3 linked regions of the Drosophila melanogaster genome follow. The protein of the gene in region 2 purifies or fractionates together with the protein of the main gene of each other region. This does not show direct contact. Each region holds a gene or a part of one and is shown on either strand. Other genes may lie near its edges.

Region 1 (8,455 bases), on a different chromosome or scaffold from region 2:
TCATCTAGGAAGTGCAACCCCTGACCGCGTCACTGGCGAATGTTACGTGAGGGGATCGGATCGGATCGGATTGGATCGGATCGCAGGCAGTGCCTCCTATTGTAGAAAGTGCTCCCCAAGTCGCATCAAAAGGCCATTTCAATTCAGTGCCCCTTACGTCAGCGTTACGATATCGTTGCCAGCGCTTTGAGGTGTGCCGTCCAAGGCTGATGATGATGAGGAGCAGGCGGAGGAGCAGCGCACTCGGAGATGTCCAGGGGGCGGAGGAGGCACTGATCTGGGGCTCGCGGGGATTGGCGGGCCAAGGAGAGGCGGCGGCACGAGACACAATTTCAAGCACCTGCAAGATTTTTCTCTCAATTGAATTTCGCTTTGTGGCTGGCTCGTTGCCGCTGCCAAGTGCTTGAGGGGGGCGGGCGGGTTGGATAGCTGTGGCGGCAAGGGGGCTGACACATGGTCGTGGAGAGGGGGTTTCAGTGGGGCGGTGAGAGACCCGTCTGCGGTCGGACGATTTGTGTAACGTGCAATAAATAAATTACTCGTAGAATTGAATCTAGTTGTCGATGTGGCTTGTCGATAAAGCGAAGAAAGAAACTAGTCGCGGTGCCTCAGTATCAGCCACCCCCCTCCCCAATGCCCCTACCCACCCCTCATCATCCTGACCACAAGCGGCTGCCGCCCGGCAACAGCGGAAAGCGAACACGCGATGTGGCTGCCAGTCTGTCTGCCATTTTAACTGCACCTCCGGTCCCCAGCCCGCGGTCCCAGTTTCCAGCTCAGAGCTCCAAGCTCCCGGCCGGCAACGGCAGCTCAGACTAGTTTGGACCCCGTCCACCCCGACCACCGCACCCCTGGCCACCGATGTTCACTTACATTTACGAGCAGCCAATCAGCAATGCACTTGGAAAAAACGGTGGTTCCCGTGGATATCTTTAAAAGAAATTTTTTAAAGAAGTGGAACATTTAAGTAAACTGAGATTAAAGATATGGTTAAATATACATATGATTTCATTTCAATGCTTGAGTTCCGAATCCTTTCTCTCAGTGTACCTTGTGGTATCGTACCTCCCCATCCGCCTACCGCTCCCCCTCCAGCGCTCCTCATTCAGCCAACGAACGCCGCAGACAAACTGGCACTCACACTTGATTGCAATGAGGCGATCGCACGGACAGATTGGACAGATGGACGGACAAGCCAGTGACTTGGACTCGGAATCGGATTCGAACTCAGACACGGTCTCGGCTAATGGAACCTTGCACCATGTCAGTGCCACTGCACCTCCTCCTGCGCCAATCCGATCCCCAAGCTAAGCAACCACTCTGGAGACTGGGCCAAGAAAAAAAAAAAAGAAGTGGTCTGTTCTTGGCCAGACATTTGAATGCTGCTCGCACCGTCAACGGGCTTTAAGTTCTGATTCCCATGGGTGGTTATTAATTGGGAGATTGGTTATGGATTACAAAATTAATTCGTTCGAATGAATTCGAAACCATGGAGTTTTAATTAATGGTTTTGACAACTACAGTGCTAATTCAGTAAGCTAAACGAATAATATACGGTTGATACTTTGCACTTCGTCGAAATGATTCATGAATATTAACAGAGTAGTGTGAAGCACCTTTATATGTAGGGTTAATTAATTTTACTTACATGTGATAGAAAGTCATAGGATCTCGAACACTGTTGTATGTTCTCAACAACTTGCATAAGATGACAATGTTAATTGTCAAGATCGAAATGAAATGGTATATGGGCTGGAAAGTCATTGAGCTATCCTTGTGAGACACCTCAGTTTCCAAACCACCAACTCTGGACTGCGGACGCAATTAGGCGGTGGAAAGACAGATCCCGAGGCGGATAATCGAACCCCCCGTCCGGTTATATCTGTTTTGTTCCGCACCTTCCCGGTGCGGCGGTCGCATAAAGAATTACGATCCGAGAACGAGCAGAGAGAGAGCGGCGAGTGAGTGAGAGTGTGTGTGTGTGTGTCTGTTGTCTGTGTGTGTGTGTGAGTGAGCCGGCGTCGCATATAAATGGAACAGCGCTGCGGCCACCAATTCAGTTCTGTTACAGTTTCCAGCTGTTGAACACGACTTTTGAGAGCCGCCGAAGCCAACTGATCCGAAGTTAACTAAGCCGATCCGCGATCCTCGCTTTTCAATTCGCCGTGAACCGCATTCGCAGCAGCAATCCCCCCCAAAAACCAAAAACCAACACACCTTGACTCGAGTGTAATGTCGATGAACCGTGCGTATTCAAACGAGTGCCGCGCCAACCAGACAACCATCAAGAAGTACCAGACCAAGTCCACGTCCACATCGAAGGAGCACTGATACCGCCACGAGGATCGAATGTGCCAAAGTAGTCAGCTAGATATTCGCTACGCCGCCTGAGATTAACACGCTTCCGCTACCCAATTACTCGATCCTTATCCCGATCCTGAAGCGCCACTCCCGAGCACAGCACCCAGACGTTTCAATACGATCCATCCTCGTCGCCCAAGACAGACCGGCAAGCAGCCAAGATTCCACCAACACTGAGCTGCACGACCTCCAAGACGGCATCCAGCGCCGGACCTATGTCAGTGCTAAGCCAGCTGCTGCTCAACTTCAACCAGAAAGCCCAGACCAGGAGCCATCACAACATAGAGCTGATAAATTCGTTCATAACATAACGATAAGCCGACCTGCTTCTGCTTTACCTGATCTATCATCGTCCAACGTTGGGGAGAAATTTGCAAACATTTTTTACCGGAAGAGAAAAAAGAAATCAAATCAAAGGGTGAGTAATGTGCGTTAACAATAGATAGGTGATTGCCGCCGAACGCAGTTTCGTGTTCCGTTTTTCGTTTGTTTTTTTTTTTTCAAAATTCGAATTCGTAGAAATGCCCAAAGATACAAAAATCACCGTCGAAGGGCAAAGACCGTCTGATGCAACATTCGCCAGCGATTGGCGAATGACTTTTTGTGGGGCTACTACTAATTCATACATACAAGCGTATGTACATACATAATACCCTCGAAACTATTTGAATAATTAATCGGTCACGCAGTTTGTCCAGTCTAGACTATGGGGACACATTGGCCCTTGATCTGCGGCTGAAGCGTGGGTGAGTGTGTGAATCCGAATCGGGCTGTAGAATTCGAATTTAAATTGACGTCACACTCCGCGAGTCATTCCGTTTTCCGTTTTCGATTTCTGCCTCTGATTCGGCCCACGCAAGAATCTTATATCATTTTCTTTTGTCAATTCTTGTTGTCTGGTGACGTGTCATTGTGAAATACATTCATCTACGTTTGGACCGAGCACATCTCTTAGGGGCCGGAAAAGGATTCCGAATCTAAATTCCGGACTCCGAGAGCCATTAGCACATTTCGCAAGTGTTAGTAATGTTCTAGAGCCCGCCGACTGAAGGCCTTGCGTTCTTATCGGGGAAATAGACTCGGAGACCTCCCCTGATTAATGGAGGCGGTGATGAGTGGGGGAAGTGGGGTGGTGGGGTGGTGGGGGGATGCATGACTGGCTGAAAAGTCGGGCTAATCGCATCACGTTGCTCTGGGGTTTAATAACCTATATTAGAGTCGTACGAGTGCCGCTGTTGAACTTTGAACTCACTTCCGATTTCCACTCTCTCTATCGATCTTGCAGAAAATGAATTTACATGTGTGCGCCTTAGCGCTGCTGCTGTTCGGCAGCATCGCCACTGTCCGCGGAAGAGCCGTGGACCTGGTAGACGATAGCAACGACGTGGATAACTCCATCGAGGCGGAGGAGGAGAAGCCACGCAACCGAGCCTTCGAAGCCGACTGGCTCAAGTTCACCAAGACGCCGCCGACGAAGCTGCAGCAGGCCGATGGAGCCACCATCGAGATCGTTTGCGAGATGATGGGCTCCCAAGTGCCCAGCATCCAGTGGGTGGTGGGTCACCTGCCCCGCTCGGAGCTCGATGATCTGGACTCCAACCAGGTTGCCGAAGAGGCGCCCAGTGCCATTGTGCGCGTCCGATCGTCGCATATCATCGACCACGTGCTGAGCGAGGCCCGCACCTACACGTGTGTGGGACGCACTGGCTCCAAGACCATCTATGCCAGCACTGTGGTGCATCCTCCTCGCTCCTCTCGTCTGACGCCGGAGAAGACCTACCCGGGTGCCCAGAAACCGCGAATCATCTACACCGAGAAGACGCATCTGGACCTCATGGGCTCCAACATTCAGCTGCCCTGCCGCGTGCACGCCCGTCCCCGCGCCGAGATCACCTGGTTGAATAACGAGAACAAGGAGATCGTCCAAGGACATCGCCACAGGGTGCTGGCCAACGGCGATCTTCTGATCTCCGAGATCAAGTGGGAGGATATGGGCAACTACAAGTGCATAGCCCGCAACGTCGTCGGAAAGGATACCGCCGATACCTTCGTGTATCCCGTACTTGTAAGTATTCCCCTACCCGCCGGGTTATACCAACTCATCCTAAGTAATCCCTACGTATTTTTCTTGTCCTTGCAGAATGAGGAAGACTAAAGATCCTACCACCAAATAAAAAACAAAAGGCTATTGGATTGACGACGGAAATTCATCTAGTTAGTTAGATAGATCAAATGCCTTCGAAGATGCGTGAAAAGAAATGAAATATGCTTAGAAAAAATACAAAAAAAAAAAAATCAAAAAAAAATATGATGGATCAAAAGGTCATACGATTTACAATTATGTACAATTTAGATTAAGCACAATCTAGCTCGTAGTCCAGGTAATTAACCGTATCTAATGCCGGCTTAGACACTAATTTTCCCACTTATTATCCTCGAATATCAGTCACATTTAGAGCATTCGAATTATAGCACCTACTTTATGGTTTTCTTCAATTATAGCTTTAGTTATCGGCTTGTAATCACGCTTCTTTGGTTCTTTGTAAGTAGCAATGATTGTTCCTAGCGATTCAGGCAGCACTAGTTAACGTATTTAAACTAATTGGCCGTTTACTTAAGGGCACTGCAGCCCAAGAAGCACTTATGACTCGTGGCACAAGCCACAGTCAATCAACCAATCAATCAGTCAATCACCCACCCAATTCGTATTTATGTGCACCCATCATTTCTACAACTAATTTATTGATCGACCAAATTCATTCAGCATCGCCACCCATACAGAATCACTGAATAGTATTCACGGAATTAATCAGTTTCATAAGCTACCCGACTATGTTTTAATTTATAAGGTAATAGAACTGAAATATGTTTTTCTAATTGTTTAGTGTTAGTTTTAATCCAACCTTCAAGCGATTGTTTTTGAATAAATACAAGAAAATTGAAACAAAAGTACTCAATGGGCTGAATGGGTGAATAAAACGAGCAGCTACGAGTACATACACTTTTCATCACTTTATTGACGGATCTACAAACTACGAATAGTCACATTATCTACATAAACTCGTACAGTTACGTACATACATTGAACGGGTAAAACAGTTTTGCCATATTTTGCAATACGATCTTAACAACAAATAACGATCTCGATCCGGAGGACCTTTACGTACACAGATGATATACTATATATTGCTGGTGTAGATAGATATTGATAGGTTGGCTCCAAAGCGGGGGCTAATCTCACGACCCGATTGTGCGAAAGTTCTATACTATATATGCGATTACGATTCGTAAAATATATATGTATGTTCTCAAGTCACCTTTGATATTGTCGCATGTCTTTGGAAATTCAGATTTCAGAGTCTGTGAGGGGTTTTTTTTTCACAATCGCTGGCGCGTAAGATCAAAGGCAGAAAGTTTGGTGATCGGAATGGTGCTGGTGCTGGTACTCGTACTGGGTGGTATGGAAATAGATAGAATCTCTTGCTCTGGCGCACCAAGTATTGGGTATTGTCTGCCTATGCGGATCTCGGATCTGTGTGGACGGACTGTGATCGTGCTGTGGTGATAATACTTCAATTGGAAATGCTCTGTTAATGATTGGGTAGCAATACCATGCGATCCGAGTGTGCGTACTTAATGGGACAAAGATCTCTGGGCTCTATTTTTGGTTGTATCTGCAGGCGAAAAGGGGCGCAACGAAAGTGTTTCTCTTGATCAACCGAGCAGCTGGATGCCGTCGATCTCTGCGAACGGTTGCCGTTTTTTAAGCGCCTTGCCGCTGTTGCCGGGCGCTTTTTTTTTCGGTCTTAATTCTTTTTCTTTGTATTTCGGCCAATTTGAAAGTCGCTCGTGAGTCAGAGAGAAGTAGTTGTAGTTGCCAAGTGCGTCGACAACCAGTTTTCCGTCTCCAATTCCCGTCTCCTGCGTCCCATTTGCCGAGCTATCTCTCCGCACCGCCACAAATGGAATGATTGATTATTCATTCAGATTTTCATCAAGCGAAGAAGGGGAGTGTGCCATCCATCATTTCTGCCGCCCAGGATGGAGGATCGCCGACCCAGACAGGTGTACACGCACATGTGATGGGGAAATAATGCTTAGTTGGCATGGAAATTCCGCGAATGCAATCGATCGACTTGCTGAATACCTCTAAATACATTTGTCAACTTTCTGGGAATTTTTTGAGTTGGTCAAAGGCGCTTTGCTTTTGGCACGTCACGTAGCATGGGAAGCAGATAGGAAATAAATCATGACAAATGACACAAGACACAATAAATAAAACTAGGGTGCGCTAAAAGCAGAACGAAGGAAACTAGAACGACTACAACTTATGCTACGCAGAGGGTAAAATTCGGGAATTCAGTAGGTCAGCCAGTGTTCATTCCAGCTCCTGCTGAACCTAAACATTTAGCACGGAATGCTTCTTATTGCCGCCGGAGGGCAGTTGCACGGCGATCACCGCCAAGCGTCCATCTCGAAGCGGCGCCAGAATGTGGGTGTTGCCCGGAGTGACCACCACCGTCTGGATGGGCACGTGCAGGGGAATGTCGAAAACGGGCTTCAAGCTGGAAAAGAAGAAGGTAAAATAAGTCAGTAACAAATGTGCTATATTACAATTCTTACCCGTGTAGTCTGCTCATGGTGATATCGCCGGCATCGTCGGCCACCACCAGGTAGTCGGAGGCACTAGCCAATCCCGTCACCCTGCCAGAAACGTATTTGGAGCCCAGACTGCAGCCGTTGATGCTGTACACGTGCACCGAGTGCGAGGTGTCATCCAGAGCACTGAATGCAATGTGACCTGTGTGTAAAGGATACAGAAAAGAAGAGCAATCAGAATTGTGGTTCAATCATGTGAAGCATTCTTTGATCATATCAGCTCAGATGACAGAATGTGGGGCAGGGCGTAGTGGCGTTAATCTACGCAGTGGAAATGCCATTATGCTATTAGACGAGGTCCGGCCCACTCTGGTCTGCTGATAACCTGACATCGCATAAAAACATTATCACATGGCGACATACTACATACTACAAGTCCGAGCAATGCGTAGTTGCTCTTATCTACACAAGTATCCGTGTTATGTGGCGGCACTTGTATCTCTGCATCTGTAAATGTATCTGTATGCCAATGCCACCCAGCGAAACGCGTTCAGAAGGAAGAGCCACTAAATAGCCTAGATTGGATCTGAATGAACTTCCTAAAGTGACCCGGCCACGCGCACAGAAATAACTAGTATAAACCGTGCCCAGTTGGTTTTGGCCAATCTTGTACGAGTAGTTCATTCAACAAAAAAAATCCCAAACTCTCACAGTTGATATCTGTATATAAAGTATATACGTATATCTTGATCTTTCCGTCGAAATTTACTACAACTAGTTCATAAATTTTCTGCTGCGTCTTAGGAATTTAAAAATGAATGAATCGCTGGGGCACATGGGTGGCCTGAGGGGGATCGGAGGAGCACATGGTGTTGGGGGGGGGGGGTTGGACTTGCTGGTCGTGTGACTGTGTGACGCGCGATTCGTTCGCCCCTCCGATTTGATTCCATTAACGACGTTGGGTTAATGCCAGAGAACCGAGTGTCGTACGGATCGGGCATATGGATGCGTATGTATGGGTGGGTTCGTTGCGGACTGATAGTCAATCAATGGATGGGATCGGGTCTTCGTTAGCGGCTATGTAATTGATTGGGGCCCCGACAAGAACGCAATTAAGTGCCCATCATTGCCCTGGAAAATGAACCGCGACTGACGTTTTTCGATTCGATTTCCATATTTCTGAATCGATCGCAGCCGGATGTTGCGAATTTATAATCAGAAGTGTGTATTAATTCAGTCGATAAGCGGACGGACGGCTGCAAGTGGCTACATTATATGCATTATGGCCGTCTATATACTCGGCTTACTGGAGGCAAGAAAAAACGAAGGAGACGAAAGGGAAGGGAATGGGGGTATATCTCCGCATGGCAGTGGTATATCAATTTCCAAGAGTCCAAGCTGATTGCCCGAAAATCGAGTGGCTTAGCGAATCTATATGGCTGCATATTTAAAGAACTCGATATGCAAGCCGGCGCCATCGATTGACGTATTTCGT
Region 2 (10,490 bases):
TTGGAGGGCGATGTAATGCTCTTTTCGGGCGACTCCCCCTCGGGTTGGCTGGCCTTCCTCTCCGAGATGCGTTTGCACGAGGAGCAACTGAGACTGGTGCCCCTGTACGAGAAAGCCCTGTCTGCCGTGCTCCTTGGCATACGGATTGAGAGGCGTAGGGTTCCGGAGCCGGGCTGTGAGGCGCGTGCCTATGCGGGCAGCTTGAGGCGCGTGATCCGTGCGGTCAGTGAGCACCTGAGGCTGGAGGATAGTGTCCAGGAGTTGCCGGCATCGCTGCAGGACCATCATTTGGCCATTGTGCCGGATAGTGATATACCGAAGGTTAGCCAAACCGGTCTCTTCTTGGCCCCGGCCTCCTGCTCCGGACCCGATCTCGTGGAGTTCATATGCCGGAACTTGGACGTGGCCAGCGGGCGGTTCAGTCGCTATCGCAGGGATATCCAGGTGGAGCGGCAATTGTGGCGACAGTGCCAGGAGGAACTTGGCTTGCAGCGACTCAGCAAGGACGACTCTGTAACGCCGGACAAGATGGTCATGGCCATACGGCATCTGCTTCAGAGTGGCGTCAAGTCCTGTCGCGGTCTCAGTCTGCACATCACGAACTATTGGTCAGTGCCCACCGATGGCATCGTCTGCATTCCCTGGGACTTTATGTCACGCGAGAAGTAGCGCATCCTGCTGGGTTGTGTCACTTAAATTGCATAAATTGGTAGATAAATTGAAAGGTTTGGGCTTACGCTTTTAAATGTTCAACTCGACATTCCGGCGACTTTTTTTTTTATTTCTGTGTCGTTGGGTATTTGGTTTTGGTTTACCTTGTTGCTATTGATCGATTGCAATTGTTCATTTATTATTTCCATTGATCCCGCGCATCATTTGATTGTTCCTTATCCAGTGGCCAGTGTCTTTGCGCTATTTTACCGAGTCAGCGCTGGAATCATTGTTTATTCAGGTAATTTTTATTGTGTGCCTGCGTTGGTTTGGATTGATATTTTGCTACATTAGGCTGGCCAGCTGAATTTCCTTCTTGGTTCATTACATTCTTTAGGCTTTTCGGGCGAACTAAATGCATAAATAGAAGGACATTCTGGTAAAAGAGCACACAGGCAGGACTACTGAACCAAAGTTCGCAACTCTTGCCCGAATGACTGGGATTTTCCTGTACTTTTCGTTTGGCGTTGCCTTGCCTTCTGGGGTTGAACGTGTCCCCGTACGACTTCTGTTGCCACTACCCATTTCCAGCCATCGCATCCCTGCAGATAGAGAAAAAGGAAAGCTGTTTTTTTTTTTTTTTTTAATGAAAGCGTATCAATGGAACATTTAAGTGCTTAGTATGAGCTACTAGAACTTCTAACCATTTACTTGTCGTGGAAACTGAGAGCAGTTTCAGTTGGTTAGCCAAAAGTTTTTCGCAGTGCATGACGACCCTTTGAGCTATGTTTTCCTTTGCAACCCCGTCAAGGGGCGAATGGAGTGGAATGGTCTTGTTGGGCGGACGAAGCCCATGGATCCCGCACCCTTCGTTTTCGCCACGTTGTGCGAAATTTCTGTAAGATTTAGCTAATGTTCCATGGCTTCGCTCCATCAATGTCGAGCGCTGGGCATGGGGATGGTTTGCCCGGCGAAGTTTGTCTGGTGTCGCTTATCCTTCTTGGGGGGGGTGGCATCCCACATGGCACCCACTCGATTTCCAGACGTTGTCATCCACCTCCGACCCACATTATCCGTCGCGTGTCCGTGTCCACTGGGTGGAGAATCCTTTTCCTTTTCAATTTGCTCTTAGGCATGAGTTATGACTTTCTAATATCAAGGATCTTTAACATTTCTGAAATATTGGGAGATATAAACACATACTTATTCCGCTTCCGGTTGAGGAACTTTCTGAATTTCCTTGAATTTCAAGTAGTCCATGAGTTAAACGAATTCAACTGTCAAATTCTTTTATATTACTGCTCCCATATTCAGAGCACAACTACGAGCACTAGCACACGAATAGATTTTCCACAACGTTAAGCATATGCAAACATCTAAATTCTACGGTTCTACATTCGATTCCATTCGATTCGATTACGATTGCCCTCGTTTTTCAGTTTTCTTCGAGATCCGTTTCTATGGCTAAAATAAATCTTTGGTTGGGTAAACTCCGTGACTCTGTTCTGTCCAGGCTGCAGGTGAGTGTTTGCAAGATGACAAGAAGATGGCCAATGAATCCATCGTCTCTCCAATAGAGCATCAAGAAACCCCTACCCCTTCCTTCGACCAAGGGCCCCCTCAATGCCAATGAAACCTCAAATTCCGAAGGTAATATTAGTGACTTTCAGCAGGGCGATCCAATAATTCCACCCATCGAAGCTAACAAAATGATACCGAGGCCTCAAAATGGATTCGTCAGCCGAGCCCTCTACTACCGAGGATACTACATTAGGCGTTAAAGGATTCGTGCCTAACATGAAATTCAGTATAAATTGAAAATTTTACACACCGGACTCGTAGTCTCGGATTAACCAAATCGAGCCTTGAAACACCGGCTATGTTACAAATTAGCTCAGTAATTTCTTGAACTTTAACAAATCATCAGCAGTGAAATAAGCATGTGCAACATTTGGTCTAAAATCAATCAATCAATAAACATTTGTACCTTTTTTTCTCTTTTTTTTTTTTACTAAATATAAGCCAGCGGATGCAGGATACAAATCCAAATGCGAACTCATCCGAACTACAAGTGCTATATACTCGATTTTTCATTTGGCCGAACCAGAGAAGAGGCGAGCACTTCTTGTCCCCATAGAGATTTGCAGCTGAAGTGGGGTTTGAGGTACACACTCGCCACTCCCATGTGTGCCTGATTTGCACCATCATTAAAATCATCATCGTCAGCGTTTGTAATCTAATTTGCAGTCATCTCATCACCATTTGACCCCATATACTGTGGGTGCTCGCACTCGCACTCAGCTTGCGAGTATCCTTTGCAAAAGTTTTACGCCCGGCATTCAATTTAAATGGGGTGGGTGGCCTGGCCAATGGCCATTCGAAGGGTGGTGGTGTGCTTGTTGAATGAAACAAACCCAAACCCGAAACTCGAAATGCGAAACCCAAACCCAAATCCGAAACCCTAACTCAAAACCATGACAATCTCTTCGAGTGTCGCCATGAATAGATTTCGCCCACAATAGATGGGTCTAATGAAAGGGGTGTGCCCAGTGGCATGGGCACGACTTGGAAAGATCTCAAAATTGGAGCGGAAAATTGCATAATACTATGTGGTCCTACTACATACTACATTTGGATACCTACGCTACATGCTCGCGCTCACTTCAAATTTCTTTTATTGTACAGAATTTAGTTAGTGTATAGTTAAATTAGTAAATATACTTAGTATACTCTAGGGGACACTGCTGCTTGCGCTTCATATCTTAGGGATTACGAATGATGGGAGTGGTGTAAATTGATTTGCAGTGGATGGGTGTGGCGGAGTGGTGGAGTGGTGGAGTGGCGGAGTGGCGGAATTGGCGGAGTGGTTTGTGGCTGCTCGGGCCACCGTGTGAATCCTTCACTATCCTTTGCAGTACTGCAAGAGCTCCCTGTAGGTGCAGCCACCCGACTTGCAGCACAAATCGGTTACGTTCTGCAAGTCGCGCTTCCTGCGCTTCCCGAAACTGTTGGCTGTGTAGGGTGGAGGGGGACGGGATTTGTTTGAGATTAGAGTTCGTCGAAATGTCAAGAATCATGGGACACACTTACGAAATACATCGCCAAGGGCCACCGTTCCGCTTACGCATATCTTCTGTATCACATCGCTGAGGCCGGTGGAGCACATCATGCGTCTCTGTTCGTATTCCGTGGGTGCGAGCGGACTGGCCGCCACCTGGGGCATCCAGCTGCTGATCATCGCCGCCACGGCGAACAAGGTGGCCAGGACTAGCAGGACTTTGGACGTCGGCACTTTGAGAACCATCTGCAATGGGCACAGATTGTTAGATTGCTTAACAACGCTCTGAATCGCTGAGGCAGTGTGCCCATGGATATGACTGATGTCACTGTCATCCCCCCGCATAGCCCCCACCCCCCCCCCCCCAAAAAAAAAAAAAAACCTGTGTGGCTTCAGCATGGCCATGGATCGTCAAAGGACACGGTTCTTCGGAGCCGGCCAGATAACTACCCCATCTCTCTTCCGCCTCGCGCACGCGCCTGATCCCCTGGTCCCTGGTCTCTGGTCTCTGGTTTCTGGCTGGGTTGCCTTATCAGCAACAACGCTCAAATATTATTGTATTTTCCATTCGATTCTGTTATTGTTTGTGTCTGGGCTGGCCAGGAAATATATTTACATAAACTTCAGTGTTTAAAAATAACCCACCGATTTGCCGCCTTGCTGGGCTCCCCACTTATCATTTGGAACATGAGTTCTTTTTATACACAATCAGAAAGTCGTAGTGACTCGAATGAAAGGGGGATGGAGCGGGATTGGGTGTTCGTGGGGCATATGCCCCATGTGGCTTGTTTGGTTTTTTTTTTGTTTTTGATATTGCTTGCTTTTATGACTCTCCTTTGGAAACTCGGTTTTCAACCACACTCCATATATAGTAATGTGGTTCAATGTTTTTCCACTTCTGTCGCTTTCGTTTTCACAGCGATATAGACGAGTACATGGGTGTATATTTAGATGTCGCACACCACTTGGCTGATTTCGGCTGGTTGGTGGGTTGGTTGGTTGGTTTGTTTGTTTGTTTGTTTGTTTGGTTTGGTTTCATTTCCTTGGGAAGAACCGATCTCGGCTCGAGTTTTGTTTTCATCGTGATAAGAATCGAGAAGAGGTTAAGGCTGTCTTTGTGTCAATCTCTAGTGATTGGATGGTTCAAGGGGCTGGAGGTCTTACACTTCTCACATCCTTGAAGGGCTTCAATTTTTTTAATCTTGTGCGACTTTGATTTAAAATAAAGATTATGGCGGATTCCATGTTTTTTTCTTCTTTTTTTTTTTAAAGTCTATGCCTATGAAATTGAAAAACAAGCGTGATAAGACATTTCTGGTAGAAATCCATACCCGTCTTATTCTGTCCTAACTTTGAACTTGTGTTTCTTAGAAAATCCGATCCTATATAATATGAATGAATATATATGTGTAGTATATGAACTTACGTTTGCATGCCGTTTAATCCTTGTTTTTGTAGTATTAATTAGTTTCCTTAGTAGTGTAGTCCTCGATGACGAATGACTAAGAGTGACTTATGATATTTATGTTTTGTTTGATTTCGTGGACTATAAAATATATATATGGTGCTGATATTGGGAGCTTTTAGTTTCGTGTATATTTTGTCTCTTTTCTCCGGCGCTTCCTTTCCTTTTCTGTCTTTAGAGTTTCTATCGGATTATCACTTGCTTAAGGAACTTTCTTTTTTTGCTAATTTGCAGATTTTCTTTTGCGATCACACAGTTTCAAAATCACAATCAATTGACGAAAAAACAAAACAAAACGACTAATAATAAGGGGTAACTATCGTTTTCTGGTGGGATTCGTTTGGGTTTTTTTTTTTTTAAATGTTTGTTAGGGTTTTTACGTGCAAAAAAAAAGGCGAATTGATAAATATCCGTGAGTTTGGCGATTGACGTTCGATCAATGTCCTTTTAAAATCGATTGGCGTTCGGAGTGTGGAAAATCGAGCAAGTGGTTAACTTCTGGTGCGTCTGCTGCGTTTTCGACTGCTGTTGCGGCTGCTGCGTTTTCTGCTGCTGCTGCGCCCGCCAGTTGTTGTTTCATCGCGTGAAGTATTGTGGCAGGAACAGAAGAGTGCGGGTATACGTCTCGGGCCGCAGGAGAAGGAGGTGAGTGAGTGAGAGGGCAGTCGACTGAGAGTGCGAATTGTAGCGGTATTCCGCTGTCGTTGCGACTGGCTTGGAATTGAAAACGCTTTTGGAAGCTAGACGCTTGGTTGCTGGAACGTAAAGCTGCCGTTTTCTTCGGAGTATCTCGTATTCCTATCTGCCGCGATCTCCCTTCCACAGCCTCTGCCTCGGTCTCAGTCTCAGTCTCTGTCTCTTTCTCGCTCACTCTTCGCTCATGTGTCGCTGGGCTGGCTCTCTGCACGTCCTTATCTCTATCTCTTTCGCCGGGAGAGAGTAGAATCCGAATCGGAATCCGAATCCAACAGCTGTTTAAAACACTCTCCAATTGTTTGCCGTTGTTTGCGGTTGTTTATTTTTAGACCACCAGTGGGATCTATAATTAGATGCAGATGCTGTCTTATCACCACTTTCTTGCACTTTCTTTCACTTCCACCCGTTTCGCTGCACTTCGGACGAACTCTTCTCGCTCGTCGGATCTTACACTTTTTTTTTTAATTGCACTCTTGACGAACTCTACTCGCTCGTTGTTTGCCAGGAAGACCGTTCTTCGCACTGCCTTTCTTCCGCTTTTCACGCTTTTAATTGCACTCTTAGCGAATTCTTCGCTCGCTCGGAAGAACGTTCTTCGTTGTTTCACAGCCAAATTGGAAAAGAACCGTTGCCGCGACGCCAGCGCAAAACGAAGCCTCACTTTACGCGCGTGCGAATGAGAGAGCAGGATGCAGCGAATGCGCAGCACGTGGACTGCAGGTGGAAGTGCGAGCGAGACAGCAAAGTCTCTGGAAGCAAAGTCCAGTGTCTTGCGAAAAGGAAAACGAAAACGAAAAAAAAAAATATATATAAAAAAAAAACAAAAAACACAGTAAGCACAAACAAATGCTTAAAATTAAACAATTTGCCGGCCATGACACATTCAATCAACTTTGGGTCACCATGGGTCCGAGTGTTTGCGGGTGTATTAGTGTGTGATTGATTGTGTGAGTGCTTGAGTGTTTGAGAGCATTAATACAGGGCAACGTCAGTACGCCGAACTTTTGTGGGTCAAGATGTTTCTTTGGGGCCAGATCGGTTTTCCAGAGTGATAACATAATTCTTACTGCTTCTCTTCCCATTACTCTAAATCTTAACTCCATTAACCTAATCTTCGTCTCTAGTCATACCATCAATATACATATGTACATATGTATGTATGTATGTATGTAAGTAGCTAGCTGGAGGAGCTTCAGTCAAAGTTCAAATGGTAATATCAACCAGAATTGCGTTTTGGGTTGTTGACGTCCAGCTGCGTTTGCAAATTTAGGAATTATGCGATTATCGCATAATAAACATACGTATGTACATATGTATATAGTCATCGGGCAGTGGTGAGTCAGATGTCGGGATGTCAGGGATTGGGATTGGGATTTGGGGCTCCAAAATATCGACTGTGGAGTATATTGGTGCGAAACCGAGTCTAAAAGAGCGCATGATGATAGTTCGGGTTAGGAATGTCGGACTGTATAAGCATACAATGGAATAATCATATTAATAAGATCGCCTTTGAACAAAGTACACACAAACACCGCTTGTGCGGTAGTGTGTGGGTGCCCATGTGGGTGTGGTGTGTGTGTGTGCGACAAATGCACACAGCAACAGCGGGCACAACAACAATAAATAGAGTGAATCCATCAGTGGAAAAGCAGCATCCAGTCCACGCTCCATATATGCACTTGTTGATTTTCATTTTCCCTATTAACGCTGCCGCTTCGTCAAAGCGACAAAGTTCACTCGCTTAGAGGACTCCAAGCTACATACATATGTACATACATACATACCTATGTATGTATGTACATACGTACATATATAGTTTTTTATTCACATTGTTTCCGCAACCCTTGCTCCCAATTTTCACGAATATATGTATGTAATTGACACTTGTTAACGCTCATTTGGCCAAAACGATGATTTTCATTTGAAAAACTGTAATTTAGGGATATTCTATTGACTTGGGGCAGATACTAATCAATTAATATCCCGTGGAAGATGCAAGCAATTTGGGTCTGAAACCCTGGGAGTACCCTATATACGACCAAATATACCCTGTATACGACGGGGTCTTGGGCTTGGCTTGGCTTGGCTTGCAGATAATGATTCGGCGATAAGCTTGTTGATGTTTTTGTTGCTGGAACTGCGAGTGCGACTTCTACTGCACGAAGATGAAGAACGGAAGCCGATGGGGCAGCCCAAAAGGGGGCGGTACGGGTCAGTGGATGGAAAGGGGGGCGGGGGGCGATTGGCGGTACGTTGGGAACGCCTGCATATATCAGTGAAAAAACCGTAAACAACGCCAACGTGAATTCGTCGTGATCTAGTTTCAATTCAAAATAAAAGATCTCTATTTTTAGCATTACTCTTGGCACTCCGTCGGGAAAAACAACAGAGCGGTGAAGTCGGAGAGAGAGGGAGAGAGAGAGAGAGTTGAGTAAGGAGAGAAAGAGATGGTGCGAAGTGATAAGGGGGAATGGGGGGTGCGAGGCCCTGTGCGCTAAGTCATCGCGAAAGATAAGCAAAGACTTCATCTACATACTGAGAGAAACAACAATGACGTACCTATCCAAATTTGAGTAAATAATATATGTACATATGTTTGTTAACAAACCTTCGAGTTTTCAATTCCTTGATTCCTTCGGAATTTATGAGTGCAGATACTTTCAGGAAACTTCATAGGTAGGAATGCCATCTGTTGTTTTGGGAAGAGACTGCAGAAGGCGGCGATTGAAAATGGTCGGGCTGGTGTGATACGGATGGAGGATCGGCGAGATCGGAGATCTCAGTGCCTTGGGCAATACGCAATACGCGATGCGGGGCAGAGTCCAAGGTGGGCAGAGCCACACGGTCAACGATTCGGGATTGGGAAGGATGCTTAAATATACCCCGTTTCTGGCTGGAAAACCCGCTGGTGAATCATGACTACTGGAGCGGTAGTGGAGCCTATATAAACAAGTTAGTGGATTTGGGGGCTACTCTATTTATTGGCCCAAGACATTTGATTCGTATGTTGGATAAACCGCTATCGCAGTTGTGAGTGGTGGAAACAAGAGCGGCCTCTTGGTTTTTTTCCTTTAGCCAGCGCTGCAGATAAGCCGCAAGTGGGGGGCGCCTCAGGTCCACCTCCCACTACAACCACCCAGTACACACACACACACCATCCCCAGCCCCCTCCCACCAACACTTCCCACGCGGCAGCGAATATTGTTTACTTGTGCTAAAATTGGATCTCCATTGATTGACATCTGCGATCGGGCGCCAACGCCAAGACATCGCGAATCTATAGCTCGCAGCTCGCAGCTCGCATCTCTCAGTTTGCAACTCACAGCACGAAGCTGTAGCTCAGACGCAGATTATTGACCCAGAAGCGTGGAGGAGGTTTGTTGTTGATACCAAAAGCCTAGACATCGGCGACAACAGTCTGCAATCGTACTCGCATTATAGGGGCAAAGAGAAACAAGAGCAATAACAAATCAAATGCCCATTCTAGCGAATTGAACTTTGCAATTAAGCCGCAAGTTCCATCGAACTGGCTCTAATGCGAAATTCCTGGATGGGGTTACCAATCAAATGACATGGACTTTTTGTCCACTGGTTACAATGAAGATTTGACAATGTTCCGCTCAGCTGAAGTGTGCCAGTAAATTGGTTCATAATGATTTGCGTTTAGTAGCAACATTGATTTCGAGCTTATTTAGCGCCATTTAAAGAATAACATATTCATAATAAGTTACTTCTTAATATTTGTCTACTATGGCAGGAATTTGTAAATGAATAATTAAATAGTATTCATTCCCAAGGGTGGATTACGAATATCCGCTGCGTTGCTTTGGTAACACACCTTTGCATATTTGATGTCCATTTCAATTCGCATTTAAATATTCAAGAATCTGTTATTGTTGTTCCTCTTTTTTTTTTCACTCGGGAGCTGTGCCAAAAAAAAAAAAAAAAAACAGCTCACGAAATTATCGCCCGATGTCAATAAACTGTCGCCAACGACCCCAAAAAAACAACAACAGCATGCTGCGGTGATGCCTGATGCTGTGGGTGGTGGGTGGTGGGTGGCGGAGTGGCGAAGTGGTTGCTTGGGGGCTTGGGTGTTTGGGCTAAAGAGCAACAATCGATGGTGGCAGCCACCAGCGGGCATAGACACACATTTGCTGGCTATACTTCTTGTTGGCCTCCACAATGGTGGGCGGTGGGCGGTGGTTGGTTTTCCCAGCTGCCAATGAACTGCAATCGGCTGAACGGCTGGGCGGATGGGCGGACTCAAGGTCAACGCTTGGCACACAGAACTCTGTGGTTCAAGGAGTGCTGAACTGGAATTGAACCCACCGAAACAGCGAGAAAGCCAAGGGGCCTTGAACTCGGTTAACACCGAAAGTGGACAATCAACTAGGGTCTTAAAGTGAATTCCTTAATTCGCCACATAAAACCAATTTCTAAATTTATAAACGGAGCACTTAAAAGTGTCAAATAAATAACACCATGAGTTAGTAGGGCATTTATCCAAATTCGCGGACAAGTAGCAAGCAACAACAAAAACAAAAACCGCATGGAGAGTGTGAACTAGTGAAGTAACTAGAGATAAGTAAAGATTGGAGTCCTTCGAGGAATTCGCAA
Region 3 (11,555 bases), on a different chromosome or scaffold from region 2:
TTTATTATTTACTTATTTTAAAGAACATAAACTTTAAGTCAACTACTGAAACTATTGCATCATTAGCTTATCCTCACCTGTATTTACTGTACCGCCACTGTCACGTATAGCAGCGTTGAATGACATTTTATTGAGCAGCTTCGACATGGGTTCCTGTTCCTCTTGCCATTCGCACATTCCAGTGGCCACCCGGGAAAATCCATCCTAGCCCCTTTCGGTCCATCAGTTTACCTTTTTGATAGAGTTGTCAACTGTCAGGCAGAACGAATCGTTGTGCCGATGACACGTTTTGCCAGCGCATCATGAAACCTTGATGACGCCAAAATGAATGCGTCCTGCCATAACGGAAATGGAACAAAAACCGAACGGAGTGGGCGGAAACGGAAGTGGGGGTACGAGTGGAAACATTCGCAAATGGCTGACAAATATGACGCCGCAACAACAATTGAAACTGTTTTGTTCATATTTGCAGACAGACACTAGCACAGGTGTGGGTAGGTGGACGAGGAGGGGAAACTGCGACAAGTGCAAAAGGATATTGGTTTTTGGGCTAAGCGGTTTATTGACATTTGCAATGCGTGCATAGCACTTAATTAAGGTGTAATTTTCAATATTGAACGCGCGTTAAACAAAGCAAAGTTTTTGCAACGGCTTTTGAAAAGGATGAAAAACAAACAAGGGTATGGTTGTTTGAAAATTGAAAGGAGACCTATTTGTGTTTGTTGAAGGAGGTAACATGATTACTGCTTACGTAAGTAAACACACTTTTCGATGCTTATTTGTATCCTATATATAGACTTCATAATTTAGGCAGTCTAGACGTTGATCCACTCGATCAGCTCCTTGTCAACGCAGAAATCCATTCAATCACCTAAAGCTTGGGGCCTAGATTTTCCCATTCATAATTTCCACTTGTCATGTCCCGTTCCACGAAATCGTTTAGCGCAAAAAGTGGAGCAATGACTGTTCATTGTTAGACGCCGGTGAACCCGACGGATAGAAAAGCCAGAGAACCTGTAGTTATTGCCTACGAAATAATAGCTCTAAATAAATCGTCAAATTGATTTCACTTATGTCACACACACGAGGCTACTCAAATCATCAACTCAATGCATTGGTGTGGTAAATTATTCACGTTTAATGGACAAATCCTTGGCGGGGCTAAATTATTTCCAGGACAATTAAGTGGAAAACTAACTACTTATCTGACCTCTGATTGTTTTCATGCTCGACTTTTTATTCAGCGTGAGAGTTTAGTGCCTGAGTAAAAACTATTTTCAGCGCTTTTCATTATTTATGGATCACAAGCAAAGCAAACACATGTCAGGCCAAAAGCCACGCAAAGCTAAAGCCCCAGTTGCAATTAAGTTCTCTCGACCTACAAATATAGGACATATGGTACGGAAAAAACTGTTTACTCGTAGGATTCCCAAAATGGGTTTATTATGAAGCAGGCCACAAAATTGTATCACTCACTCAATTACAGACCAACAATTTTTATAAGGTGAACATTTTGTATTTACTCTGAACAAGCAGATAGTATTTCTATATTAATTTATATAAATATGAACTTCATATCGACAATATTATTGTGTTTCTTTCAGTGGAAGAGTAAAATGGATGACCCAACGCATTGCAGCCAACCAACTAAGAGTCCAGACGTGTCGGATGGCGGTCCTTTGAGTTGAGCTGGTCCTGCCCAATAAACTTGGCTCCTGCCTCAGCACATTTTGATTTAACTAAAATTAAAATCAGCTGCTTTCCATCTACGCCCTCATCCTCATCCCCCCGAGCACTTTCCCTCCGGCTGTCACTTAGTACATGTCCTTGTGGACTAAGTGACCGTTTCCCACACATGCCAGTTCATATTATCCGGGCGCATTTATCTCGCATTGGCAATTGGATTTGTAATGTGACTAAAGCCAGACAAAACGACAGGATAACAAAGCAATGGCAATGGTCATTGAAAAGGACAATTGTGTGTGCGAGTCGCGCATTTCGAAGCTGACGAACTGCTGACCTGAAGATGGGGTACAGTTGTGTTTTTGGGGGGGAATCGGGGCTTAGTAGGTCGGGGATTATCCAAAGCTCTTTAAATTTGTCGCAGGAAGAAGGACTTGACCTTTTCGGTGGCCTAGAATTTAATGTATGCGCAAGTTTGGTAACTGGATTTGGGGGATTTTCAATGATAAAATATTTAAAATGTTTAACGTTTAACGTGTAGTATATACTTAGTTACTTATTAAAAATATTTCATATACAATTTTATATATTATTGATTTTTAAATTTAAATTTTCTATCTTTATTCAATTGGTTTCCCTTAGTACTGGCAACTACTTGCATTTATAGTAACACACACACACTCGCACAAGCTCTGATGGTGTTCAGTATATATCAATGTCTCAGGTCCAAACTAGTGCACATCATTACCATTACCGTTCCCAGACTGAATGCACTAACCCAGAACTCGCATGCCGACCCGTACCAAATCCAAATTCGAAAACCCAGAGTTTAATGCGCCGATGGTGAAGGTGATGCCGACACTTTCGTTTCTCCAGTTGGGGCAAGGACAATCGAGGAGCGCACACATATGGATTGGCAAAGCTGCCCACATAGCGGGTTATAAGCCAAATATGGCTAAGTCAAAAGCAAGTAAGCATATTCTGTACCATCCATGCAATACTTAGTATCGCACTGGTAGTTTTAAGTATCGATTTCTATAGCAATTTAATAGGTCAAAAACAAATGTCAGGTATGTAACATATTTTCGGACTAAAAATAAAATTGATAAACATATATTAAATAAACTCCAATTGAACAGCACTAGTCCGAGTTGCGGTGCACTCAGTTTTATTGTCCGCCTGCCTGCCTGACTGACGGACGGACGGGCGGACCAACGGGCGGACGGAGGAACTGCTAAACTGACGCACTGACATCGACGAACCGCACCCAAAGTGCTTGGCCCGGCAAGTGCATAGATAACAAACGAGTGCAAGGATAACGAGGCTACACGGCAAGGACTACGTTTGCAACCACAGCTACAGCTGCTACTACAACTGCGTCTATGGCAACGGAAATAACGCGAAAAATGGTGCAACAGCAAAGGGCGAAGAGGAGGGGACAGTGAAATATTGAAATACAATTGGTTTAGGATAAGATCACACACAGCCCCATATCTCTTCCTTCCTCCACTTAAAGACGGCGCCAAAGGATGTGGCATAAGTGGTTTCCAGCTGCCCAGCATTTTGCTTTAAGTCCAGCCAGTTGATTTAAATGGCTACATCAAAAATTGAAAAAGAGATTAGTTACACTCAGTAGGTTGAATAAGGTTTGCCAGCGGGTATTAGCTCACTAAAAAGAAACTCTAGCTTAGACTAACAAATATGATAAACTTGAGTATTTTTAAAGGGAATTTTATTGTAGACAATGAAATGTTATACCTTTTATTGATTGGCTTTCAATTGCAGTATATTATATATGACCTAAATTTGTGCTAGTGAGTTTCTTGCAGTGAAGCTTCCAAAGTACGCGAAGGGATAGTCGCCAAGTTACCCCCTTTGGAGTACTTCACTCGCGACCTCTAAGGTAGTTAAATTGCGCGTCAGTGTCAGCGGCAGAATTGAAATCCTTTTCCTCTGCAGGCACTCTGAGCGTCCTTAGCTTCCCGCATCCCGCTCACCCCTCGCCGCTCATACTTAGTCCTGCGTCAATCACGAACCGCTTTTCCCCATTGAGTGGGACACGTTTTCATGGAACTTTTCCAGCTGCGCCGAAAACTTGGCCACAAACAAGGCGACACATGACACGTACTCGACTTGACTCCACTCCACACCGAAAGCAAAAGCATCGTCTCGACCTAGTCCCTTTCCGCCCAGTTTTCGATGGTGGGGATTAGTTCTAGTTTTTGTCAGTGTTTTAAAGTTTAAAGCTCTTTTGCGGCATATTTGCATATTAAGTGGCATGCGTTGGAAGTTCCAGGCAGCCTGCTGTTGTTAGTTTCGCCTAGGCTTATGCCATGGCCAATCTCGAGAGAAAGGTAACCGCTTTCCGGGCCAAGTTGAGGATCTCAGGAATCACTGCTGTCAGTGAGGGTTTTTCCCTTTGAACGGTTTCTGGCTCTGGCACACATTGCAAGGACGTGCGGCTAAGTCTGATAAGCTGATAAGTCAAATTAGCACTGATGAAAACATTTGCTCGCTTGTCGAGGATTTGTTTGGCATTTACACATTTACAATACATTTGGAGGAACTACAGTCACTTGACTTACAATACTTAGTTGGGCCCATATGACACGGCTTACACATTACATTACATTTTAACAATTGATTCAAGTAAAAAGCATTAAAGCTGTTCAGTCTAATTATAATCAAAGTTAAAAACCGAAAAATATTAAAAAAAAAAATTAATTCCAAATAGTAAAACTACGACATATATAGTCTGGAAAAATAAGAGGTCCAGCGGTCCTTCTATGTCAAGTTTTTTAGAACAATAAATACAGATATAGTAAATGTTAAACACGTTGATTTAGGTTGATATTGCATCAAGTTTTCAACATGCCTATCGTCATATGGGTCTAGCATTTATCACTTGTCAGCGGATACAGAAAGTCTGCGATCGAGGATTCTCTGCTAAACACCCTTGATGAATCGCTCCAGTTGGATGCTTGCAGTCTTGATTACAGCTTCCGCCGGAGTTGAGCATCCGTTGACCACGCCCTCGACGCAAGCCCGTATGGTGATCCGGTAATGGGTTTCCGGCTCCAACTGGGAGAGGCAGTAAAAGTGCTGGGTGCCCGGAAGTTCGTAGCCACTCAAGGGCTCCTCAGCCACGCATTTTTCCTCCACTTGCTGGACCACGGATGCGTGGGAGTTTTGGCACTTGGGCAAGGCATGTCGGATGGTATACTTGTGCTGGTCCAAGTCCTGAAGATCCCGCTGCTTCTTCTCGCTATTCAGGCGATAATTCTCATAGTTAATTGCGGCCAATCTCTCCTTAGCCAATGTTGCATTTGTAGGAGCAGGAGTGGTTGTGGGCGGTCTGGTGGGCTCTTCATCCTTCTTTATGGACAACAGGTGCTCATAGTTAATCACTTTTTCGAACTCCTTTCTGCGATAGTCGTGATTGCGCCTATAGATGGTATAATATTGTATATTATTTCAATTGAAACTTCAAAGAAAACCATATTTTCTTGTCTTACGAAACATAAATGAGATTGGGCAACGCATCCTCGTAGGTGATTTGCTCTTTGTTGTAGTAATCCTCGTCATCTGGCTGAGGACCTGAATAGTAGGGCAGTACACCAGCGCACTCACAATCGATGTCTTTAGCATTTTCCAACTCAACATTCACATAATTTTTGTCCTTTGCTTCCTTGGTAGCATTGTACTTTTCGGCGGTCACAAAATAATTTTTAATGACTCCATTTGGACGCCTCGGTGGCCACCAGTGAAGAAGCTGGAAATGAACAAGTTTTTAAGCTGAGAGATATATTTTGAAAAGTACTTACAATCTGGGAACTGATTTCCGAACTGCCATATATTCGGAGCACAGGACTTGGCCTATCCGGTAGCGTCTGGAAGTAGCCGATTTTTGAGTAGGCATCTATCTGAATATGATATTCGGTTCTGGTGAGGGTCTTCACGAAATACGCATACTGTGTGTAGGGCTTCAGACCGCTTATCACATGACGTCGACTCTGGTTGGGCACAACGTCCATCAGCCAGCTGGAAAATTATAAACAGAATCACTGTAGGTAAACTTGGTGAGGGCGAGGAGTCCACACCCACTTGTCATGACCGCAACCATGCCGACCATCGTACATAGTCACGTTTTGCACCGGGGCTTCCTTGTAGTGATACGAATATCCTATTAGCGTTTCCATACCCTCCCAGTCCATGTAGTCCAGGATGATGCGTACCGCAGTGGAATTTAGGTCCTCCACTTTGGGATTGAGGGAGCGCACCGCGTCGCCACAAATCACGCGTTCGCCGTTCGAATTGGGGGATACATCTGCCACGGATATATTCTCTCCGCTTTTCAGGGAGCCCTGTAGCTGATGGATTTTCTCGTAGCACAGGCGGGGATTCAGGTGAAAGAATAGTGTACCGCGCTGAATGATCACCAGGTGATTGGGTGGCCAAATGTGCTCCAAATGGTAGTTATTCACTACATACAGGGCGTATCTGAAAATGAGATAAATAATATTATTAGAATTTCAATACAATCCTTGCCTCTCAAACTAACTTGTTTTCCACCAGCTTATCCCCTCTTATGGCATCCAAATTCTGAAGAAATGTGAGCGACATCAGCTGTGCAGAGTGTATGACCTTCAGATACCCAGTGATCTCTTTAACACTGGCCAACGCATTTTCCAAGGCATCTACAATTTTTTCTGGAAAATGTATTATGTAAGTAAATTATACAGATATCATATATGATATGAAACACACCTTTAATATTGGTGAGTTCGATGGTAAGTGAACCATTGATCGTCACACAGTCTTGTAAAACTTCCAGGTCGGCAGCACTCTTCACGTGAAAATCGCCGTTGCACTCCACCTGGCAGTGGATGATGCCCTTGGCGACCAAAATCTCTTTCTGGTTTCCCGGACACTTTTTCACACACTGATAGCCGCGTATCAGGGGAATCCTTCCCAATTCCCGGCACTCCCTGTGACCGATGCACCTCCTCTTGTTTAATTCATAGCTGGCGACACACTGATTGACACATCCCATTCTTCCCTGGTAGTTTGCACAAAGGGAGCAGTTTTGGGAATAGCAACCAGTTACACAGTTGTGATCACAACATTTGCCCGCACTATCACATCCGTTTAGGCCACATGCAATGGGGCAGTCCTTAAGTCTGGGCGGTTGGGGGCGAAGTTGTGTCGTATTCACGTTCCAGCAGCGCTCCGAGGAGTTCCGGATGAACTCGAAGTCCGCTGACAGGCTACCACACAAAGGGCACTGACTTTGCGGTCTGTTGTGCTATGGTTAATAAAAAAGTTATTTATCCAATATTTGCTTAATATCAAGGAACATATGCCCAAGTATATCTTCACTCACTTTAAGGGAAAAGTGCTGCCGAGTGGCATTGCCCATTAGATATATCCAATCGACGGTTTCCACGAAGCACAGCAAGGGATTCGATTCGACGCGAATGAATCCGCTCTGGATGCGCAATAACTCCACCAGGCCGAGCTCCCTGAGATTGCGATTCTCGTAGACCACCAGGGAGTACTGATCAAAGAGGAGCTCCTGCCCACGAATGATACGCAGCCGTGGGAATATCGACTGCAGGCTGATCAGACCCGTGCAGCGATACACCATTAGGTAGTCACTGATCTCGGTCACATTGCTGGCCAGCGAATCCAGGCTGTAGTTGCCGGATACATCCGTCAGATCCACATAGGCCAGTCGAACGTGACCCACCACATGAGTACAGTTCTGCAGTTTCCGCAGGTCCGCAATCTTATTTATCTCCAACGATCCGCAGGCGGTTTGATCATCGGAACTGGCCAAAACCGGCGATGAGGCGCCCAAAAACAGCAGTATCAACGGAACTGCGATCGAGATGGGGATCGGAAGGGGGTTGGGAACGGGGTGCAGATGCCCCATGCTGCCACCTGACACTTCCAATTGAGAGCACTTGACCCGGGCGTTAAGGGGGCTTCCAATGGATCAATTAGCGCGCCCGCTTGAATGTCAATGTCGTTTTTCTCGCACGATCGATCGGTTGAACTATATATTTTTTTAAATATTTTTTCCGCTTTTGAAGAGAGCTGCGTTCGCGGCAACGATTCGATTTGGACTGATGGCATTCGATTCGAACAGCGTTCTGTGCTTTCGATCTCTTTAATTAGCCTCTTCTTTCGGCATTCACTTTGTTTTGTTTTGTTTGGTTTTGTTTCACACTGTTATTTCTTTTTTATGCGCTCGTCTTCGTTCTCTAAACCCTTCGGCTACACCAGCGGAAAATCGTGTAGTGTTCATAAAACTATTCAAATTTGTCGACATTTATAAGAACCTAAAAATGTATGCAAAGCGAACATATTTAGTAACCTTTTTCTTAAGCAAAATATCTTTTAAGCAGATTTCCAAAATTATTACAATAATAAAATATTTAGCATATTGTTTGATAGAGCCAATTCTAATATAAATATCTAAATATCTTCAAAAACCAGAACTATTTTTTCGACTCGGTGTATAAAAACTGCTCAAGAATGAAAATCAAAGGTGGTGGCTGTTGTGAGAGAAGAAGACTGATGATTCGATGGGGAGCAGTCTGGTAATATTTACGTTAATGAAAGTAAACATTTCGTAAAACAATATCGTAAAATAATATACTTGCCGGTCTTGCTATTTGTTTGTTTCTAGTTTTCTCAATCAAATTTAAACCCCCTAATGCCCTTTTGCAGTCAATTAAAAAAGTGATATACGAAACTTAAAATTAAGATTAAGAGTACCATGATAATTCGTATGATCTTTTACGGTTTTTGATAGATCGATTTGTGGAGCTACAAATGAAATTCAAAAACTGGAAACCCTTTTTGAAATTCTTGGCACGCCACTGTTTCATTTTGTTGGGGAGCGATTATTTTACGCATCTGTTACCTTTCACGTTTTTCTCATTGTCGTTTCCTTGTTGCCGTCAGCCGAAAAACACTTGTTACTTCTGCAACCGCCACAGCCCCTTGCCACGCCCCCACTCCCCATGTGACCTTGCAACCATTTGCAAACCGGTTGGATCCTCTTCCCCCTTCCTCCTTAGCTACCTTCCCCTTAGCCACCTACCGGCGTTCTTTACCTTTTTCCCCAGAGTGCATGTCTTTGCCTTTTGTTTTTGCATTTGCGCAGAAATTAAATTGCACCGGCGAACAATTCAATTAGAGTGAATGCAAAAAAACAGTGAAAATAAGAGCGAAAATGGTGGGAGGGGGTGAACCAAAGCTCCAATCCAATTGGTAGAGTAGTGAGCATTGAACAACGCGCAATTGGCAGTTCATTAAGGTGCAAGTAACGCTCAATGGAATCGGAAAAAGAATTTTCTAAATTTAGTCAGATGCCAATTGAATACGCAGCTTGAATGATTGTTCAATAACAAAAAAATAGATAATATATTTATGTGTTAAATACAATAGCAATAGAAATCTATAAATAATTTGCGCAAAATTGTGCCCCGTTGTTTTAGATATTTTAATGGGCAAACCACATAAAAACGCACGAAATAATTTCAAATTTTCACTTTGTTATTATAGGGTATATCTTTAGTGTAGTACTTTGAATATATCATTACATATGTAACAGCGGATAAAATCTGCCTAATTCACCCCAGGATAATTATTTAGTTATTATATCTATTCCAAAAATTATTTTAAACATAATAATTTATGTTACCGTCGCGATAATCCATTCAAAATTAGTTAATAATTGATAAAACCATCATCAATGGTCAATATAGGCAGTAATTTATTATTATTATTTATCATAAAACGTTATTTTTAGCTTTAAATATGCTTAAAGCCAACTTCTATTTCTAAAAACAAAACTGCCATAAACTGTATCTTTTTTTAACGAGTGCAAAATGCACAAATTCACGCAAAATCACCAGCTGCACCCACATAAAAAATCGCAGTAAACGTGTGAAAAAACCACACAGGCATAACTATCAATGATTTTTTCGTTAGCTGATGTGCTCTTTTTCTCCGTTTTCCCGCCACCCGCCTGTGAATCAATTTTCGCAGTAATTTGCAGAGCCTGCGCTGATGTGAAACGCGCGGAATTTAATGCAGCATCCTTTCCGGCGGCACGTCAAACTATGAGCATCCCCACCAGCGCCCACTACCACCCCTCACCACGGAAGCCCCCATAACCAGGGGCGCCAATTATTGAATATGCCAGCAGCACACAGGCGCCGTTTGAAAGGGGCAACCAAAGGGGCAGCGGGAACTGACAACAGCCCTCCAGCGATGATGAAGTAGCTAGCTAGTATTTAATAAAAATGCTCTACAACTGCGAAACCATTTTATTTTGTAGTGAATATGTTTTCATAATTATTCCAATAATAAAATGAAAGTTTTCTTAAGCCAGCAGGAAATTAGAATGGCTTTTTTGAGCAGAGCACCATCTCTGACTCACTTAATTCGCACGGGAGTTGCAAGATGGCAATGATGCGGTGGACTCCAGTCACCAGAGTATCCGAGGCGGCAAACACGTAACACCATTTTGCGGCGCGTGATGGGAATCGCTAGCGAGGACGTGTGCATATGCCTACCCGGGAAAAGCGGGAAAAGCTGAGAAAATCGGGAATACAGTGGGAAGAGTCAAGGGATGGGAGAGTGGAAACGGGAAAACTTGGACATAAGTCAACCCGTGAGTAGGCGGCCCACGCACGTCCCTGCATTTAAGTGCCAAATTAGGAGGAGGCCTTGGGCGGCTTGCACATGGCTGTTGGCCATAAATCAAGCGGTCGATGCAATTTATGGCCCTGCCAATTCAATGAGCTACTGCCTGCCTGCCTGCTGTCTCATCATGACCCATTACCATTATGATTGCTGTTATTACGAACTCTACAGCTCGAGCCGGAGAATTAATTAAGTTTGCTGAAAAATGCAATCCGGCAAATAGACAATGGCAGCAGCTGTTCCATCAGCCTTTCTTCCCGGGATTCTCGAGTCCTTTCCGCTCAGTTGGAGCACTTGCATCCTGATTGATGTGGCACCTCGCAGCAGCTGACAGGATATTCAACCCGGCTGGCTGATGCAATTGGACACATGACACAGCAATCTGCTTGAAAACTACACTAAGACGTCCAAGAAGTTGGCCAAAACAGACCACACAGCAAGTGCACTGGAGTTTCCCTTTACCTTTGGGATAACGAACAATAAAAACATTCGAGTGCAAACAATGTTACTTCATAAGTAGTCATCAAAAATTACATAATCCATTTAAGAGGCGAGCAAGTATAAAACACACAAACTGAAATCCATTTTTAATTTGGTAAAACTATTACTTTACTTTCTTTGCCACACTTCATAAAATTGCAATGCTCTTCATTTGCACGTGCATTCCGCAAGCCTCAATTCAATCAAATTTAAAAAGCTTTCAATCTCAATCAAACTGCTAACAAGTCTTGTTCAACCAAATTGCGTTAAATGGAGTCCAATTAAAATTAAAAATGAGTGCCTAAGAGTGTGTCTTTTAAATTCGATAGCACTTCAATTAGAAAGTTTTCAAATTAAAGCCAGCATTCTATTGCATAAGAATGCAAGTAAATTAAAGGGTATATATATTGTAATACAAATTCATATTTCTTGTAATATTTCCATTGCAATGAGCAATGAAAATTGTACATTGTACACTGTAAAAGAGCCTTGATTTTTCAAACCACTCCATTGCGCATAAACTTCACTCTTAATCAGATTTTTCCATTGTTAGCCTTTGCCATTTTTAAGGCATCTGCTCAAAAGCGTTTCATATTTTACGGCTCACCTCATAAAGCCGAAAGGTTGGCTGGCAGAAAGTCAGGACGGAAAGTGCCCTTAGTAACAAGGAT

The links.
Region 1: the proteins of Ilp6 (region 2) and ImpL2 purify together in Drosophila melanogaster (affinity purification with western blotting, with the first as the bait; one study listed by BioGRID). This does not show direct contact.
Region 3: the proteins of Ilp6 (region 2) and Sdr purify together in Drosophila melanogaster (affinity purification with western blotting, with the first as the bait; one study listed by BioGRID). This does not show direct contact.

Annotation. Positions count from the first base shown.
Region 1 is NT_037436.4:4,220,898-4,229,352, reverse strand, and holds ImpL2 (Ecdysone-inducible gene L2), read left to right. Parts: upstream 1-3,402; 5' UTR 3,403-3,460; coding exon 3,461-3,469; intron 3,470-3,646; coding exon 3,647-4,426; intron 4,427-4,501; coding exon 4,502-4,516; 3' UTR 4,517-4,643; downstream 4,644-8,455. Other genes in the region: CG46460 (uncharacterized protein), read left to right, coding at 2,577-2,672; CG43367 (uncharacterized protein), read right to left, coding at 6,761-6,926, 6,985-7,162. UniProt on the Drosophila melanogaster protein: Essential developmental role during embryogenesis, in particular the normal development of the nervous system. May be involved in some aspect of cell adhesion.
Region 2 is NC_004354.4:2,328,185-2,338,674, forward strand, and holds Ilp6 (Insulin-like peptide 6), read right to left. Parts: upstream 6,475-10,490; 5' UTR 5,136-6,474; intron 4,727-5,135; exon of another isoform or gene 4,355-4,726; intron 4,225-4,354; exon of another isoform or gene 4,092-4,224; intron 3,956-4,091; coding exon 3,742-3,955; intron 3,664-3,741; coding exon 3,554-3,663; 3' UTR 3,309-3,553; downstream 1-3,308. Other genes in the region: CG2854 (uncharacterized protein), read left to right, coding at 1-669. UniProt on the Drosophila melanogaster protein: Possible ligand of InR/insulin-like receptor.
Region 3 is NT_033777.3:14,914,941-14,926,495, reverse strand, and holds Sdr (secreted decoy of InR), read right to left. Parts: upstream 7,869-11,555; 5' UTR 7,619-7,868; coding exon 7,067-7,618; intron 6,989-7,066; coding exon 6,451-6,988; intron 6,393-6,450; coding exon 6,245-6,392; intron 6,184-6,244; coding exon 5,788-6,183; intron 5,725-5,787; coding exon 5,508-5,724; intron 5,456-5,507; coding exon 5,199-5,455; intron 5,129-5,198; coding exon 4,630-5,128; 3' UTR 3,413-4,629; downstream 1-3,412.